Linked DNA regions of Arabidopsis thaliana. The protein of the gene in region 2 interacts with the protein of the main gene of each other region in a pairwise test. Each region holds a gene or a part of one and is shown on either strand. Other genes may lie near its edges.

Evidence for each region. Proteins that work in one complex are often made in the same cells at the same time.
Region 1: the proteins of MLO12 (region 2) and AT2G38250 interact in binary tests that used the Arabidopsis thaliana proteins (3 or more experiments, as listed by UniProt).

The regions. Positions count from the first base shown.
Region 1 is NC_003071.7:16,015,104-16,020,656, reverse strand, and holds AT2G38250 (Homeodomain-like superfamily protein), read right to left. Parts: upstream 2,448-5,553; 5' UTR 2,274-2,447; coding exon 1,968-2,273; intron 1,721-1,967; coding exon 1,157-1,720; 3' UTR 501-1,156; downstream 1-500.
Region 2 is NC_003071.7:16,353,935-16,364,115, reverse strand, and holds MLO12 (Seven transmembrane MLO family protein), read left to right. Parts: upstream 1-4,172; 5' UTR 4,173-4,318; coding exon 4,319-4,435; intron 4,436-4,648; coding exon 4,649-4,706; intron 4,707-4,837; coding exon 4,838-5,082; intron 5,083-5,180; coding exon 5,181-5,297; intron 5,298-5,394; coding exon 5,395-5,455; intron 5,456-5,797; coding exon 5,798-5,886; intron 5,887-5,982; coding exon 5,983-6,057; intron 6,058-6,136; coding exon 6,137-6,231; intron 6,232-6,343; coding exon 6,344-6,393; intron 6,394-6,496; coding exon 6,497-6,537; intron 6,538-6,633; coding exon 6,634-6,807; intron 6,808-6,912; coding exon 6,913-6,948; intron 6,949-7,036; coding exon 7,037-7,104; intron 7,105-7,206; coding exon 7,207-7,267; intron 7,268-7,417; coding exon 7,418-7,861; 3' UTR 7,862-8,075; downstream 8,076-10,181. Other genes in the region: ATATH8 (Protein kinase superfamily protein), read right to left, coding at 8,371-8,775, 9,005-9,158, 9,550-9,620, 9,723-9,835, 10,020-10,113.

The sequences.
Region 1 (5,553 bases), 340 kb from region 2:
TACGTAAAAAAAGACGTCGTTATCCTAAATATCTAAAGCTAAAGAGAGAGTCATTAACCAAAAAAATGTTCTTTTGCTAAATGTTGTAAAATCTAAGAGTTGTATAAAGGTTATTTCTAGTTATGTATTTAAATTGTTACTATTTGTCATGATAATTTTAAAATTCAAAGAGTTTATAATATTAACAACAAATAGATATATAAAATCATATTTTCAAAATTTTCAATAAAATATTTTAGTCACACAAAAAACTGTTAAATTTTTTACAAATAAATCCACGCATGAGTTCATAGCTAGTAAATAAATAAAGAAACAACAATGTTACCAAAAAAAAACTGGTTAACGTATTTTCTAGAATTAACATGTGATGTGTATTTTATTCATTAAGCATCTCCTTAGTATATAATTATATAAATATAAATTTACAAATAAAATAATACAAGATCTTTACTAATCTTTATGTGGAAAACAAAAAAAAAACATAAGTAAAACAAATTTATGTGGATAAGAAACGCCATACGCATTCACGTATTATCTTGCCATGTTAGATATGATTCTCAATGTTACAAGAAAACATTTATGGTAAAATAATAAAAGTTTAGATCGCAGACAATGGACCTAAATGATCCCATAATTCATAGGATAAGTTTTCATTCTTGTTTCGAGCATGTTTAATATTTCCACTAACTGTTTTGCCCTCTTGATCTCTACATTCTCATCAAAGTTAATTAGTTCATAATACCATAAACTATTAGTATCCTCGTTCTCTTCTGCATGAAGATAATATTTGAAACCGATATTACATTCGCTGCACTATATATGGATTTGTAGGTTAACTCTAACAAAATCCAAATTACTCTAAAATACTACACATACGGTCCTACAAATTACTAATTAAAACCAGTATACTACTAAGATTAAATGATATGCTATAAGAATTTGGCTCGCCAAAATATAAACTAGGAAGAAATAATGTGGGGATGATAAATTACTAAAGCCTCACTAAAACTCAAATATGTCATCATATCAATCAATATATGAGTGTTGAGATTTGCCGTAGATATTATCTTCCCCCACCAAATAATTGTACCTACACTACACCCCAAACAAGCATATAAGAACAAGTTAATTTAGGTTAAGCAAAGCTGACAAAAGATTAGAGGGAACCATCTCTAGTAAGCTTAGCAAGCAATGCATTGATAAGTGAATCCCTCTTCTCTGCTCTCATCTCCTCCCTCGACCGCCGTTGCTCCTCTCTATCCCGCCACATCCGCTCCATTGCCAACCTCTCCTTCTCAAGCTCCTCCATCTTCCTTCTCCATTCTTCTTCTTTCTCTGCTCTTTCCTTCTCCCTAGCCTCCCATCCTTCTCTCCACTCGCTCTCCATTCTCACTTGATGTCTCATAAACTCTTCCAACACTTCTCTTACACCATTATTGCTATTACTACTATTACTACCGCCTTTTCGCTTCTTTGCAATGTTCTTTTTCGGATTTAGAATTTTTGGGTCGTTGCTGACATCTACTAGCTCTTCATTCACATTCTCTTCTTCCTCATCTGAAGAATACTCTCTCTTTCTCGCTGCCCCGCTTGTTCCCCCTCCTCCTCCCTCGGATTCAGCCCATAGCATTCTCTGCATTCTAGTGGTAAATATATTTTGCATATCATCATAAAAAGGGAACTGTTGTCTCGCTGTCTCTGCCTCCATTGTCTCACATCCCTAGAAACATCAAGCAATACATCACCAATGAGATTGTATACATATAATTAAACTACTTAGCAGATTATGGACAACAAGATTCAGAAATATTTACAATGGTGTTTGTCTATATGTCCCGGAAAGATTATGGACTATAAGATTCAATATTTCTTGGTTACAAATTTTTATTTATTTATTTGTTCCATGCAAGACCTCCAAGATTATAAAACATCCACAAAATGAAAGAAGAGGGAGAGAGAGAATAGACCTTAAAACGAGTGACGAGGTTCTTCCACTTGCACTTGCACTGTTCAGGGCTACGAGGAAAGCTTTTGTCTCTCATCTTGTTAGAGATAACTTCCCAAAGAAGCTTGTTCCGTTTTGTCTCCATGAAAGTTTGATCTAGCTCTCCTCTTATCCCTATCAACTCTTTTGTCTCTTCGACGCTCCACTGTGGAAACCTATCCCCAACAGCTACCGGAGAGGCTATTTCCGGCGTTTGCGATTGAGTATGAAGATGATGCTTGTTGAGATATTGAAGCTGGTGAAGGTGATGATGCTGATGTCCATCCATATGAAAGAATCAAGAAGAAGAAACTATAAAAAAAAAATAAAGAAAAAAAATCACCAAACGATCTCTAAAGCAAAGATTTTGAAGAAGCTTTCACTTTTTCAGATCGAAAAACAAAATATTTCTTGTTTTTCTTTATCTTTTGGTTTTTGTGTATTTGTAATGTGAAAACGTTGGAAGAAAGAAGTCTAATTTTCTTTGATCGCAATTCTTTTCTTCTTCTCCACTCTCTCTTTCTCCTGTCGCCATCTGTCTACGCGTTTACTTTTTTCTCTGTCTTGGATTTTTTCTAATACAATTTACTTTTTTTTTGTGTGTCTTCTTTTGACAAAATATTAAAAAGAAAAAAGCTTTCGGCAGATTTGTCATTTCATTTCTAATAGTATATAATTAGTTAAAATATCGATTGAAATGGTATTATAGAGCAAAGGATAATTAGCGTCTTAAACTACCAGTCAATTCGTTAATAAAAGATATGTTGACTGGTGATCAGGAGAGATGTGGATATTTCTATCGTTATCTCATAATGTAATCACTTTCATTTGACAAATAGTATTCTAGATTCTGACAGTCGACATATTTGTCAAATATGTGTATGAAATGAGTTTATTACTGAGTTGGTTTGGTAAAATGGTAGGGATAATAAATTTAATTAAAATGATGATAATTTTTTATATTGCTTTAAATATAAAAAACAGTAAAATATTAAAGAGAAAGTCAAGTCTTTAAATAATATAATACAATTTTTCTTTTGTCAAAATAAATTAGAGTGAAAGTGTAAGAAAAACATAGGTGAGTGGTAAATATTTCCTATTGAGTTATAGAGCTCTTTATGTATTTTCTGTTTAATCTGCTTTTTCATTCATACTATAATGAGGAATCAAATTGATGTGACGATAACATTGCGTTGAGGTTTCATCATCACCGCGAGAAGTTTCGGTTTGTATACTTTTTGTAATAATACTGTGTGGTTATTAATTCTCGGCGACCAGTCATATCCTTAGCTTCATGCCCAAGTTTCTATTTACTACTTTGTCTTTGTTTATTTTTCCCTTTTTCAACAAAATTCGATATTTTTCTAATTTTGAGCACCTTTTTTAAATACAAAACTAGGTGACTTCTCTAGAATCTCTCGTTTCCTAAATTCCTTCACGTGTTATTCCTTGTATGGTTATCAAAATAACAAAAGTGTTGGAATGATTTCTTCATTCACGAAATGACAAATTATAGTGTGACACGTGCGTGGAACTAGCCAGCTAGGAACAACATTCTAGAGATGTGAAACTTGTTAGGCCAATTTTGAATTTTTTTAAAAGCATGAACATGACAAAAAAAAGCATGTGCCAAACTAATTCATTTTCAACTTAAGGTTTATTATGGGTTGGCAGCCCAAACCCATTCTACACAGTTTGGGCCCAATTTGTCTTCGAGTGATGTACAATTTGGCAATTGGACTCACATAAGAACAAATTTTGTGTAACCCCTACAATAGATGAAAACTGCAACTCTCTTCTAAAGTAAAGGACTAAAGTCAACCTAGTCCCTTAAATGAGGTTTGGAAAATTCTTTGTCTGCCTCGTTCACTTTTATTTTGCCTCGTTTTATGTATCTGTTGAAGGAACACCACTTGGTTGATTATGGTACGAAAAACATGTTATTTGGACTTTCACCAAATTTATGTCGATATAAAAAGATCAGTACAAATTTGTTATTGATTTTATTTTTAGAGGCTACATTTCCTATGGTTTGTGACCAGACTATAGCTAGCTACAATTTTTTTATTGTATTTTTATTGCGAAAAACTTAGTTGCATATATTATTCACTAAAACAGAGATTTTTTGTATAGTAAACAGTGAAGGTAAAATTGTTAGCAAACAAAAATTTTGTAGAGTCAAGAAAAGAATTTTTATATATATATATATATATATTTTTTAGAAACAACATATTTTTAATAATAAAAATAGGAAGCTTCAAATACAGCATTGAAAAGAGTTTAACGAAGAATTTTTGTTTTCGATTGTATTTAAATTTATATAATATATACAAACAAAAAAAAAAAAAAAAAAAAAATTGTCACGTGTGCGTTTGGTAGCTGTAAATGAATGCATCTTACACAGTAGCCCACATGTCGATTTTGGTTTTTCTTCATTTTTTCTTCACCACATAGCTGTTGTCTTCAAAACAATCAACGAGTTTTTTAGATTTGTTGATTTTGTTGTTTTGGATTATTGTTGATTTTGCCATTTTAGATTTTTCACTTTATCTATAAAAAAAAAAAAAACTATTTTCTGCCACTTAAAAGCTAAAATTTTGAGAAACTTTTTAAATAAAAATATGTATTTGAGAATTTTGTTTCATTATGTTTCCATTTTTTTTTTATAAAATACATAATAACAAATATTATACCCTAAAAAAATAGAACCAAGTAAACCTAAATGTGTAAATTGTAACTTTAGATATAATTTTTTCGGCAAATCTATGAATGCCACTAAAAATCCTTATCTGGTAATTGATTCATTTATTTATTTATTTATCACACTATATCACATCATTTACGTTCACAATATTCAACATATTAGGCGGACAATTTCTTTTGTCAACATCACGGATCTAGTATTTCCTTTTGACATATCTCGATCTAGAAGATGAAAGAAATAGATATATAGGATGAAATGAATTTAATACCATCTAAAAGAACGTTCCTATTATATATGCTAATGTATAGCATCAAAATACCATTTGTACAAAGAAAAACAATAGATAATCGAATTTAACAGAGTTAGATTGATAAATGGTATTTCTTTAGTTGTCACGTTTTGAAAGCGTGATTCTATTCTCATGTTTAAACATTTGTCTTAAACGTTTTGTTATATATCATAGACATGTTAGAGATATAACTGAAAAAAAATCATTTAAATTAGTTTTTGAGTATTTTATAATTATTCTTTTGGGAATTTCAGTCATCCAAAATCATTCAACAATGTTGCGCCAAACAGAAGATGGTTCAACCACTATAATCAAACCATTTTTCAAATGATTTCGTTTTTTTTGTTTATTTTTTGGCTTTTGTGGATTACAAACCAAAACAATAATTTAAATTATGATGATCTCTACTTTAGTCTATATAAATACAATGACCATGAAAAAAATACACTATGGGTTTGGCTGTTTTCGTTCCAAATGTTGGCATGACCTCCACCGATAATCTGTTGTTGATTAGGTATTTTTAAGTCTGTCAATCGTGAATCGACATCTGATTGTCATCAAACTCTTATTCTATAA
Region 2 (10,181 bases):
GGTTTATTAACTTCTCTCATCTACGCTACGAACTATTCTTATCAAACTGGGGACAGAAGAAACCAAACGACGATAGCTCAAATTACAGATTCCGCTAATTTATTTAGATATATTGGTTGGGAATTTTTTTAATTCTAGAAATATGACGAAGAACAGTAATGTTCAAATAAGGTAAGGAAACAAAAGAACAACAACTCTTTTTTTGGCCAAACTAAAAGAACAAACAACTCAAAGAAAATAAATAAGTGAAATAACATACCAAAATTTTATATCAATTTAATGCCTAAGAATTGGTCAAATGTTAACTTAAGTACTTAAATTTTAAAAACATCATATACACTGATATTCATCTACTAATTATAAATCAAAATTTTTTTTTGTTAAAGTGAGAGGATGATCCGAATTCACCTAATTCAGAATTTCTATCGTTTAGTCAATTGCTTAGGAAAACAAAAATATATGATGACAGTATATAATGGACTAGTGGATGTTGGGCCGCTTTTTAATAAAGCCCAATTAACAATTTAACATATAGAGAAGCAAGATGTCGATGCATATTCATTTACACAAACAAACAGAAAAAAACTACAAGAAATCTTCTTAAAAATACAAAACAACCGCTGTAGTTATAAAAGAGAAGATGTTAATTATTAATTAGTCTCCAAATTTGTGTGGATTAATTTGTAGTTTTTGAATATTACGGTCTTAGTTAGGGATAAAGATAAAACCAAATGTTCCCCAAAATATTATGAGTTTCTGAAGAAACACTCATTAGTAGGAAAAAGATTTAGGACTAGTTGTTTGACCAAAAAAAAAGAAAAAAAAAGAAAAAAAAAACTTTGGACTTTACCACTAATTCTTTGAGCGAGTGAGCTTATTTGTTTCTATCAGAAGCCCACTAACATTTATTCTAAACTAAATGTATTTAATTAGTAAAACACATTGATCCTAATCAAAGTCGCTTACAAACCAAAATCCACATAAAAATAGAAAAAAAGAAGAAGATGAATTTGTGATGATATCTATCACACTTAGAGAAAATAAAGGAAAAACACCTACTAACTAAAACATATTATAAAGATAATAACATATTATAAATCAATAGATATTCTGTGTCAAAAATATTAATTTGCAAAACCATTTTTGTATATTAAATATTTGTATTTGCTCTTATACAATACATTGCAAATTGTATCTTAAAAGTGGTTTTGTGACAAAAAAAAAAAAAAAAAAAAAGTGGTTAATAAGTTCTTATAAAACCTATTTAAATATGATATAAGGTTATTAATTCAATCACTCACTATGAATATAAATACATAAATATATAAAGAGTCAACCATAATTATTTTTATTTCCCTAAGCAATGTAAACGATATTTCATGTCATGAATGAAATCCATAAATAAAATAATTTGCTGTAAATATTTACATCAATATCATGCATAGTTTTAAGATATTCAAAAAAATCATAGAGAATTTTGGAATATTAAAACTGATATGATACATAAATGAATTTCATAAAATACAAACCGTCAAAAACAAACATATATCGTGTACATTTAGTTTTCATTTTTTATGGACACAACGTACATAATTGCAGATGATTTTTAATTAAAATTTATGAGGAGAAAATGCTAACCTTGTATATATTTTCCTGTTTCCGTATACTAATTGACTTGAAATGTAATAACTTCCGTGTTCTGTTTTTTGATTTTTTTCTTAGTTAGGCTATGAAAGCTCTTAAATTGTTACCTTTTTTTGTTCAATAAAGCTCTTAAATAGTTACCTAAAATTAGAAACAATACGTAAATTTCTATGTTTTTTCTTCAAAGTAACTTAAGTGGCGGTCAACCAAGAAAAAACATCATAAATTTTATTGTCCATCCAACTTGGAGAAATATTAAACTGTTAATCTATTTAATTAAAGATTAAATATGAATTTAATTAAAATTTAATCTGAATTGAATACAACTCATTATTAAGATTTGTTCAACTTGCAGAAAAAACAAGGGAACAACACGTTTTCAGGGATGACTTTCAAAATTTTATATTGGATAACGATGTGGCAAAGAATACAAAATTCAAAGAAGGAAACCATATGAGATCGGTTAAGATTGAAAAATTGGAGCTATGGGTCAAAACAAAGATGGACACATGGATGATTTTACACCACAACCTTACCAATAAAGAGTCAACGCTTAGGAAGTTTAGATCAGTACATATCATAGAATGGCAATGTCAATATGATTTGAGTTGACTCTAACCTTCTTTTTTTTTAAATGACAAATTATTTAATTATTTCAACTTCCTGATGAAACGGTTGAAATATTATTTTATCAATTTGAGTGAAAATGTGGAAATCCACTATTCTATCGAAGTTCCAACTCTAACTTGGTGGAAATAAGTTGTATAGGATAAAACCATAATATAATGGGCATTGTATTAATACCAAAACTGATCCCATTCCAAAAGAAAAAATGGAATTTTACGGTGGTATTGGCTATATTGATACTTTACTTGGAGAAAAAAAAAAATTGATTGAAAATATGACTAATATTATTAGTCGGACAGTCATATCAAAATGGAGTTGAAAAACAAAAATGGCTAATTTGGTAAATGCTCCATCGAGATTGGAAGTAAGAAAGAACATCTTTTCATGATTTTTAAATTGTAAATACCGTTAGTGAGTGTTTTCTTTGTTTAGTCACCTTGTGTTACAAGTCCTTTCTATAAGCCACTGATCGTTTTGTATAAATAATCAAGAAATGCAAGGCAGACCCATAATTATTTTAATAAACAATTATCATAGTCAACCCAAAGTACTTCCAATTCCAGCTATGGTTAAGTTTGACTTCACGATAAGTTTCACCTCACGCTTAAATATATATTTCCATCTATCTTTTCTTTTTGTTAAAGGATACCTTCATTATGGGTTAAAAAAGTGTAACTGTCAATCTGTAAATTTTTTATTGGATACAAAGAAAATTTATATTAACGACAACAGGTATGTTTAACACATGAGACGATAATCAATTCCAAATTTCCGGTAACGGCAACTATGTCCTAAGCCACACCTTGATTGAGTCCATTTACCACAATTTGATTTTTTTTTTTTTTTTTTGGTTTGATATTTAGTAATATCAATTCACAATAATATTTATGAAAATATCTTAACATACTTGTTATCAATGCTGATCCAACGTCTTAACCAACATACCTAACTGATAACTAGTTCCAGATGAATAGTCGTCCAACCCATAGCACACGATATTACATGTACAACACATGATTCAAAATAAATCATACTGGATTTTGCGAAATGTTTACCACGTATAGCTAGAATTTTCCAAAAGTTTTTAAAAAATTTGTACTTTGGAGATTTAAATCCTGATATGGCATAGAAACATGAATTCTTTTTAGGCCACCACCAAACCAAAATCGTTTTAAGTTTTTATGTACCGTTTTCGTCAGAAATTAACTCACTGAGTAACATGTTGGCTCTATAATTGTTTAGTTAAAACAAGAACTGATGAGAATGGAATATCAATCATTAAATGACCGCTTCAATTTTACCTCGGTTTATCGCTTGGCCACTATTTTATTTCCGAAACCCAAAAGTAGATAAACTAGTTTCTTTTGCATGGAAATTTTTTCCACCTTACTTTGGTTAGAGATTCTTTTACTTCGTTTTTCTTTAAAGAAGATTTTACATAATCTCATTCAATAAATTTATGATATATTAAAAAGTATCTTTTTCAGTTCAACATCGCAGACATTCATAATAACTGCCAAAACCCATTTCTTTGATCGTACCGTAAAATGTGAATGCGAGGCATGAATAAATTTCGGTCTTTTAAAAATAAAAATAAAATAAAAAATTTCAGTCTTCATCAGAACGACCGAACACTACATTTAGTTTTTAAAATTGAAAAAATCGTTTTAAGGTATGCATGACCCATAAGAAGTGGTAGCTAAGTTCACACGGCATTACCAGTCTCCTCATGCCACTTCATCTCAAGTCGTTATCTTTGAATTAGTCAAAGTCTTCGTTTCCCTTATTTTTTAATAAATAATTGCGGCTTTCACTTGTTTGACTTTCTTTTTATTCTCTTTACAAAGAAATAACAACAACTCATGTATAGGCATCTTGTTTTTAATTGAATTATGTATATATAGAGACATAACAGGAACAAAGTCCATATCACTTTCTTTCTCCTTTTCCCCTTATCGATAAACTTGCGAAACCCTAAAAGCTAAGAAACTTAAGAGTTTAAAGTTTAACAAAAACAACTTAAAAAGAGTTTTGAGCAGTGAAATTAATGGCAATAAAAGAGCGATCACTAGAGGAAACACCAACATGGGCTGTTGCTGTAGTTTGCTTCGTTCTCCTTTTCATTTCCATCATGATCGAATACTTCTTGCACTTTATTGGTCACGTACGTATATTTTTCATTTTTATATTTCCAAATCTTCCTTTCTCTCTTTTTGCTTTTCTCCAAATGATACGAAAGTACACATTAATTTAGTACTATTACTTTTGCATTTTAAGGTTATTAATGCATCATCTCGCTTTTTCTTAACTAGGCAATCAAAATTTATTCGGTATAACCCCATAATTAATCTCTAATTCTTCTTTTCACTTATTGTAGTGGTTTAAGAAGAAGCACAAGAAAGCTTTATCTGAAGCTCTTGAAAAGGTTAAAGCAGGCAAGTTAATTCACTATTCTATAAAAAGTTGTCATCAAAGACGACTTTTTATATTACAATATGATAAATCTTTCTCTATTTGGATTCCCAACTAACTTTCTTCTTTTGTTGTTGGATTGTGATGAAAATAGAACTGATGCTTCTGGGATTCATATCGCTTCTATTGGTTGTATTGCAAACACCAGTCTCCGAGATTTGCATTCCAAGAAATATTGCTGCGACTTGGCATCCTTGTAGCAACCATCAAGAAATCGCCAAATATGGTAAAGATTATATCGACGATGGCCGCAAAATTCTTGAAGATTTTGACTCCAACGACTTTTACAGTCCTCGCCGAAATTTAGCCACCAAGGGTTATGACAAATGCGCAGAAAAGGCATGTAATTCATAATTACTTACTAACTATACTAGTATGCCGCTTTTATGTTTAGCAAATATATATATCGGAATCTTATTTCATATTTTCGATTTCAGGGGAAAGTAGCATTAGTATCTGCCTATGGTATCCACCAGCTGCATATATTCATCTTTGTGCTCGCTGTTTTTCATGTTCTCTACTGCATTATAACCTATGCTTTAGGAAAGACCAAGGTACATGATCTTCTCTATACATTTTGTACAAGTTTATGCATATATTTGTATGTGTTTAATTTGTTTTTTAATCTATATATGGTTATGCAATATGTAGATGAAGAAATGGAAGTCATGGGAGAGAGAGACCAAAACAATTGAGTACCAATATGCCAATGGTATGTACATATACAACACACACTATCTCATCGCCATAGAGTTTATATTTGTAGAAGTAATTAATCAAAGAAAAATGACTAATAATCCGGTAGTTGACTTTGCCAAGGTTAACATCTTGATAGCGTATCAGTGGGAAGATAATTGTTTATTTCATTGATTAGTTTGTTTATTTGATTGAGTTAGATAATTGAATTGTTGATTAATTACAACGTCGTTTGTTTGACTCACGAATAAACAATTTAACACAAGAAAGTAACATCATATTTTATTTTTATTTAACTATATATTATCTGTCCTCTGATTTAATTTGTTTAGTTCAATTGGTTATTTAACTATTATAGATCCAGAGAGGTTCAGATTTGCAAGAGATACATCGTTCGGACGTAGACATCTGAATATATGGAGCAAGTCTACCTTTACCCTCTGGATTGTAAGTTTTCATTTCTTTACTTTTTGTGAGTAATTTTTTTATATATAATTTGGTTAAAAATTGACAACAAAACTTATGGATGGAAATGGAATGCAGACATGTTTCTTCAGACAGTTCTTTGGATCAGTGACAAAAGTAGATTATCTTACACTAAGACATGGCTTTATTATGGTAAGTAATAATTAGCATATACTACTAGTAATACACTATGAATTGTTGATTAATTACTCCAATTGGTGAATTGGTGCAGGCACATTTGCCAGCAGGAAGTGCCGCTCGTTTCGATTTCCAAAAATACATTGAAAGATCTTTGGAACAAGATTTCACGGTGGTTGTCGGTATAAGGTACAGTATGTCCCATTTTTTATTTTTATTTAAACCAAGTTTGTTAATATTTTGTTCAAACAATCTTGCACAAAAGTTAAATATCTGATTAAATATCTTTGTGTGAATGCAGCCCACTGATATGGTGCATTGCTGTCTTATTCATATTGACCAATACACATGGTATGTCCTAATTCTCTAACAATTCATTTAAGAGATTAAGCAAATCGTTATATATCAACGAAATATCTTTCTAAATTTCAATGTCTTTTTCAAATTAAAATAGGATGGGACTCATATCTTTGGCTGCCCTTCCTTCCCTTGATTGTAAGTAATAAAAAATTTCACTTCAAAGTCTTCAGTGTATTAATTATGTAGCTGTGAATAAACAATAATTGTATATGGTTGGTGTAAATATTGAAGGTGATATTGATAGTAGGAGCAAAACTTCAAATGATAATATCGAAATTAGGATTAAGGATTCAAGAAAAAGGAGATGTGGTTAAAGGAGCTCCTGTGGTTGAACCGGGCGATGATCTCTTTTGGTTTGGTCGTCCTCGTTTCATTCTCTTCCTCATTCACTTGGTTCTTTTCACGGTACACTTATTTACTTTTTTACATTTACCATCTTAAGTTTTTTTTTTGTCAACCCTTTTCTTATGACTTTCTAAATTTTGTTTCTTCTATGTATTTTGTTTATAGAATGCATTTCAACTGGCTTTCTTCGTTTGGAGCACTGTGAGCAATAACAATCCATTTTCTTCTTCCAATTTATATATGTTTTTGAAAAAAAATTAATGATTTTGGTTATGAATTAATTTTGCAGTACGAATTCACACTCAAAAACTGCTTCCACCACAAAACAGAAGACATTGCAATTAGGATCACCATGGGGTTTGTTAACTTCCTCAACTATACATAACATACAACAAAATAATATTATCTTTTGTATGTTTTGAACCTTAACGATAAATTTCTTCTTGTTGTATACGGCAGGGTATTAATACAAGTTCTATGCAGCTACATCACTCTACCTCTCTATGCTCTTGTTACTCAGGTACAACTTTTAACAAATTTTAAATTGCTAAGTGTCAATGCGTCATGTTTGAAACAATTAAGGGTTTGCTACAAAATTGTGATTGTCCCATATATAGTTTAGATTATTTTGGATGTATAGGATTTCTCTAACACTAAAATGTGATTGCAGATGGGAACATCAATGAGGCCGACAATATTCAACGACAGGGTAGCCAATGCATTGAAGAAATGGCACCACACAGCCAAGAAACAGACGAAACATGGACACTCAGGATCTAACACACCTCACTCGAGCCGTCCTACTACGCCAACACATGGCATGTCACCGGTGCATCTCCTCCACAACTACAATAACCGCAGCCTCGACCAACAAACCAGCTTCACTGCTTCTCCTTCTCCTCCTAGATTCTCTGATTATAGCGGCCAAGGCCATGGCCATCAGCATTTCTTCGACCCTGAATCTCAGAATCACTCTTACCAACGTGAGATCACAGATTCTGAATTCAGCAATAGTCATCATCCCCAAGTTGACATGGCAAGTCCTGTTAGAGAAGAGAAGGAGATTGTTGAGCATGTCAAGGTTGATTTGTCTGAGTTTACGTTCAAGAAGTGATAGGACTATACTTTTTACATTCTGTTTGTTCATTCTTTGTAAATGATATGAACTTAGGAATGAACACTTTTCTTATTTCTTTATCTGAATTTTGCTATAAGCTCAAACGCTTTATGATATCATTTCATATTAGTAGACAGACTTTAGATCTAGTTAACTGATATGTTTTACACAAACGCTTGTCCTATTCAATCAAATATGTTTTGTGTTTTGGACTTGCCCAAGAGGTTTCGGTAAATGTAGGACATTTTAGAGTGGAGAACTCTATTAAGTGTTCTTGAAGCAGAGCAAAAGGATTCCTTGAGGTCTCGGATATTATGATTAGTCATATATCGTTACGACAGGCATTGATCGTCTGATAGGATTAGATATGGAACGACTCTATACACGAAAATATTTAGTCTTTCTGTAGAATCTATCCCTCTTACTAAGGAACCCTTTGCTTTGGGTCTTGACAACAATATACATTAGTGATTCTGGTTCTGTGTTGGTGTAGGATGTTCAGGTAATCAGGTACGAAGTGCGACTGGAGCAGACAGAGATAAGTAGTTGACGTAACCTTCAGAGACCGAGATCACAAACCGATGGCAAGCAAGCGCAGTGGTGGTGAGAGACATGACAAAGGAAGTCCAGCAGAATCTGAGCATCAAAACTCGGTCACTCTTTGCAGACTCCAGTATCTTTCTCAGTATTACTCTGACCCGCTTGTCATTGATTAGAATCTTGAAGTCTTTGACTGTAATGTTGATTCCTGAAGATGGTGGTGGGTCTGAAAGAGAAATGAATTTAAGGGATTCAATTCCAAGGCTTCCAACCATCCATTGGTACATCGTAGTTGCAATCGTCATGCAAAGTTTCTGGCGTATGACAAGTGCCTCTCTTGAAATAAATGTCCGGATCAGTGAAGTCCCGTTCTGTTTTATCAAAACAGAGAACAATACAAAGTTTATTACTTGAGAGGTCATTTCCTCAGAAATACGACAAATCTACTTTAATCACAAGTTAAAGTCAACATGGGGATGAATGATGACCATAACCAGAAAGGTACCTTATTCCCTGTTTACTTTGTTAGAGACTAATCTTTAAGTTCAGAAAACTGGCAAAAACGATGGGAAGAATAGCAATTAGGATGTAGAAACTAACCGCAGCCATCAAGAGTCTTCTAAGAACCACACCATTTTTGGATGCCAAAAGTCTCAAGACCAAACTTACATTGTCAGCATCTTTGTCCGTTAGATTGGAACTACTATCAACAGAAGTTTCATCCCTTGATAACTTTAGCAGTGGCGATTGTTTCCTAGACAAGGTATAAAATAACTTATTATTATACAGAGACCTAGAATACAAGATAGTAAACAATATGCAGGGGCTAAACAAGACAGAATATGAATGTAAAGATCATTCAAATACTTTAATATCAAATCATTACCAGTCAAAGCTACGTTAGATGCCTATTACTTGCTCTTTGTTGTGAGCCATCTGACTCTTTGTAACTAAATTATTATATTTCATCTGATACTTCTGTAATTTAACAATAGTTTTCTGTTGCTGACCTCAAGAAAGTACTTAGAAGAGAGCCAGAGGCACTAAAATTCTCATCTTTTCCATATTACCTACACCACTTTATCCACCAGAGCTATACCTAGACATAATTCTAATGCATAAGTCAAATGTCTGATTCACAATACCTCGTAGAACTTTTACTCAGGAAAAGAGCAACCCTTTCCCATCGGAATTCCTTCTTTCGGTTAAGGACTGCCTACAGACACCAACAGAAGTTAAGAAGTTTTCTCTGCTATTTAGCTTTATGAAACAGAAACTATAAAAAGTCACTTAAATGGCTCTAGAAACTGTGTAATACCGAATGAAGAATCTTCCTTGTTGCAGCTGAATTTTCAGTGATGAGCTTTTGAACCACAAAAGGGTATGCTGCCTCAAATGTCTTAAAATTTGGATCTCCAGCTGCAGCCAGACCTGGGAAGACAAGAATAGAAAGCAAATAACTAAAGGATGGAAACAAATGGATTACATATTCTTCTACGATATAAGCCAACAAAAAGAATGACGCAAAATGCCAAGTAAAGGAAACCAAGCATGGCTAGAAAGAAATGACAAATAAAGTTATCAAACAAACAATCAAGGACTCAATCACAAGTACCTTCCAAGCAAGCAAGAGAACGGAGGACAAGTGTGAAGTATGGTGGCATGCGTAGCTGATACTTCAGGGCCACATTGACTATTTTACTAAGCACCTTGAAAAAATTAGAAGCATTGGAAGAAATATTAATGAATTCAATGGTACTCACGCAGAAGATAAAAC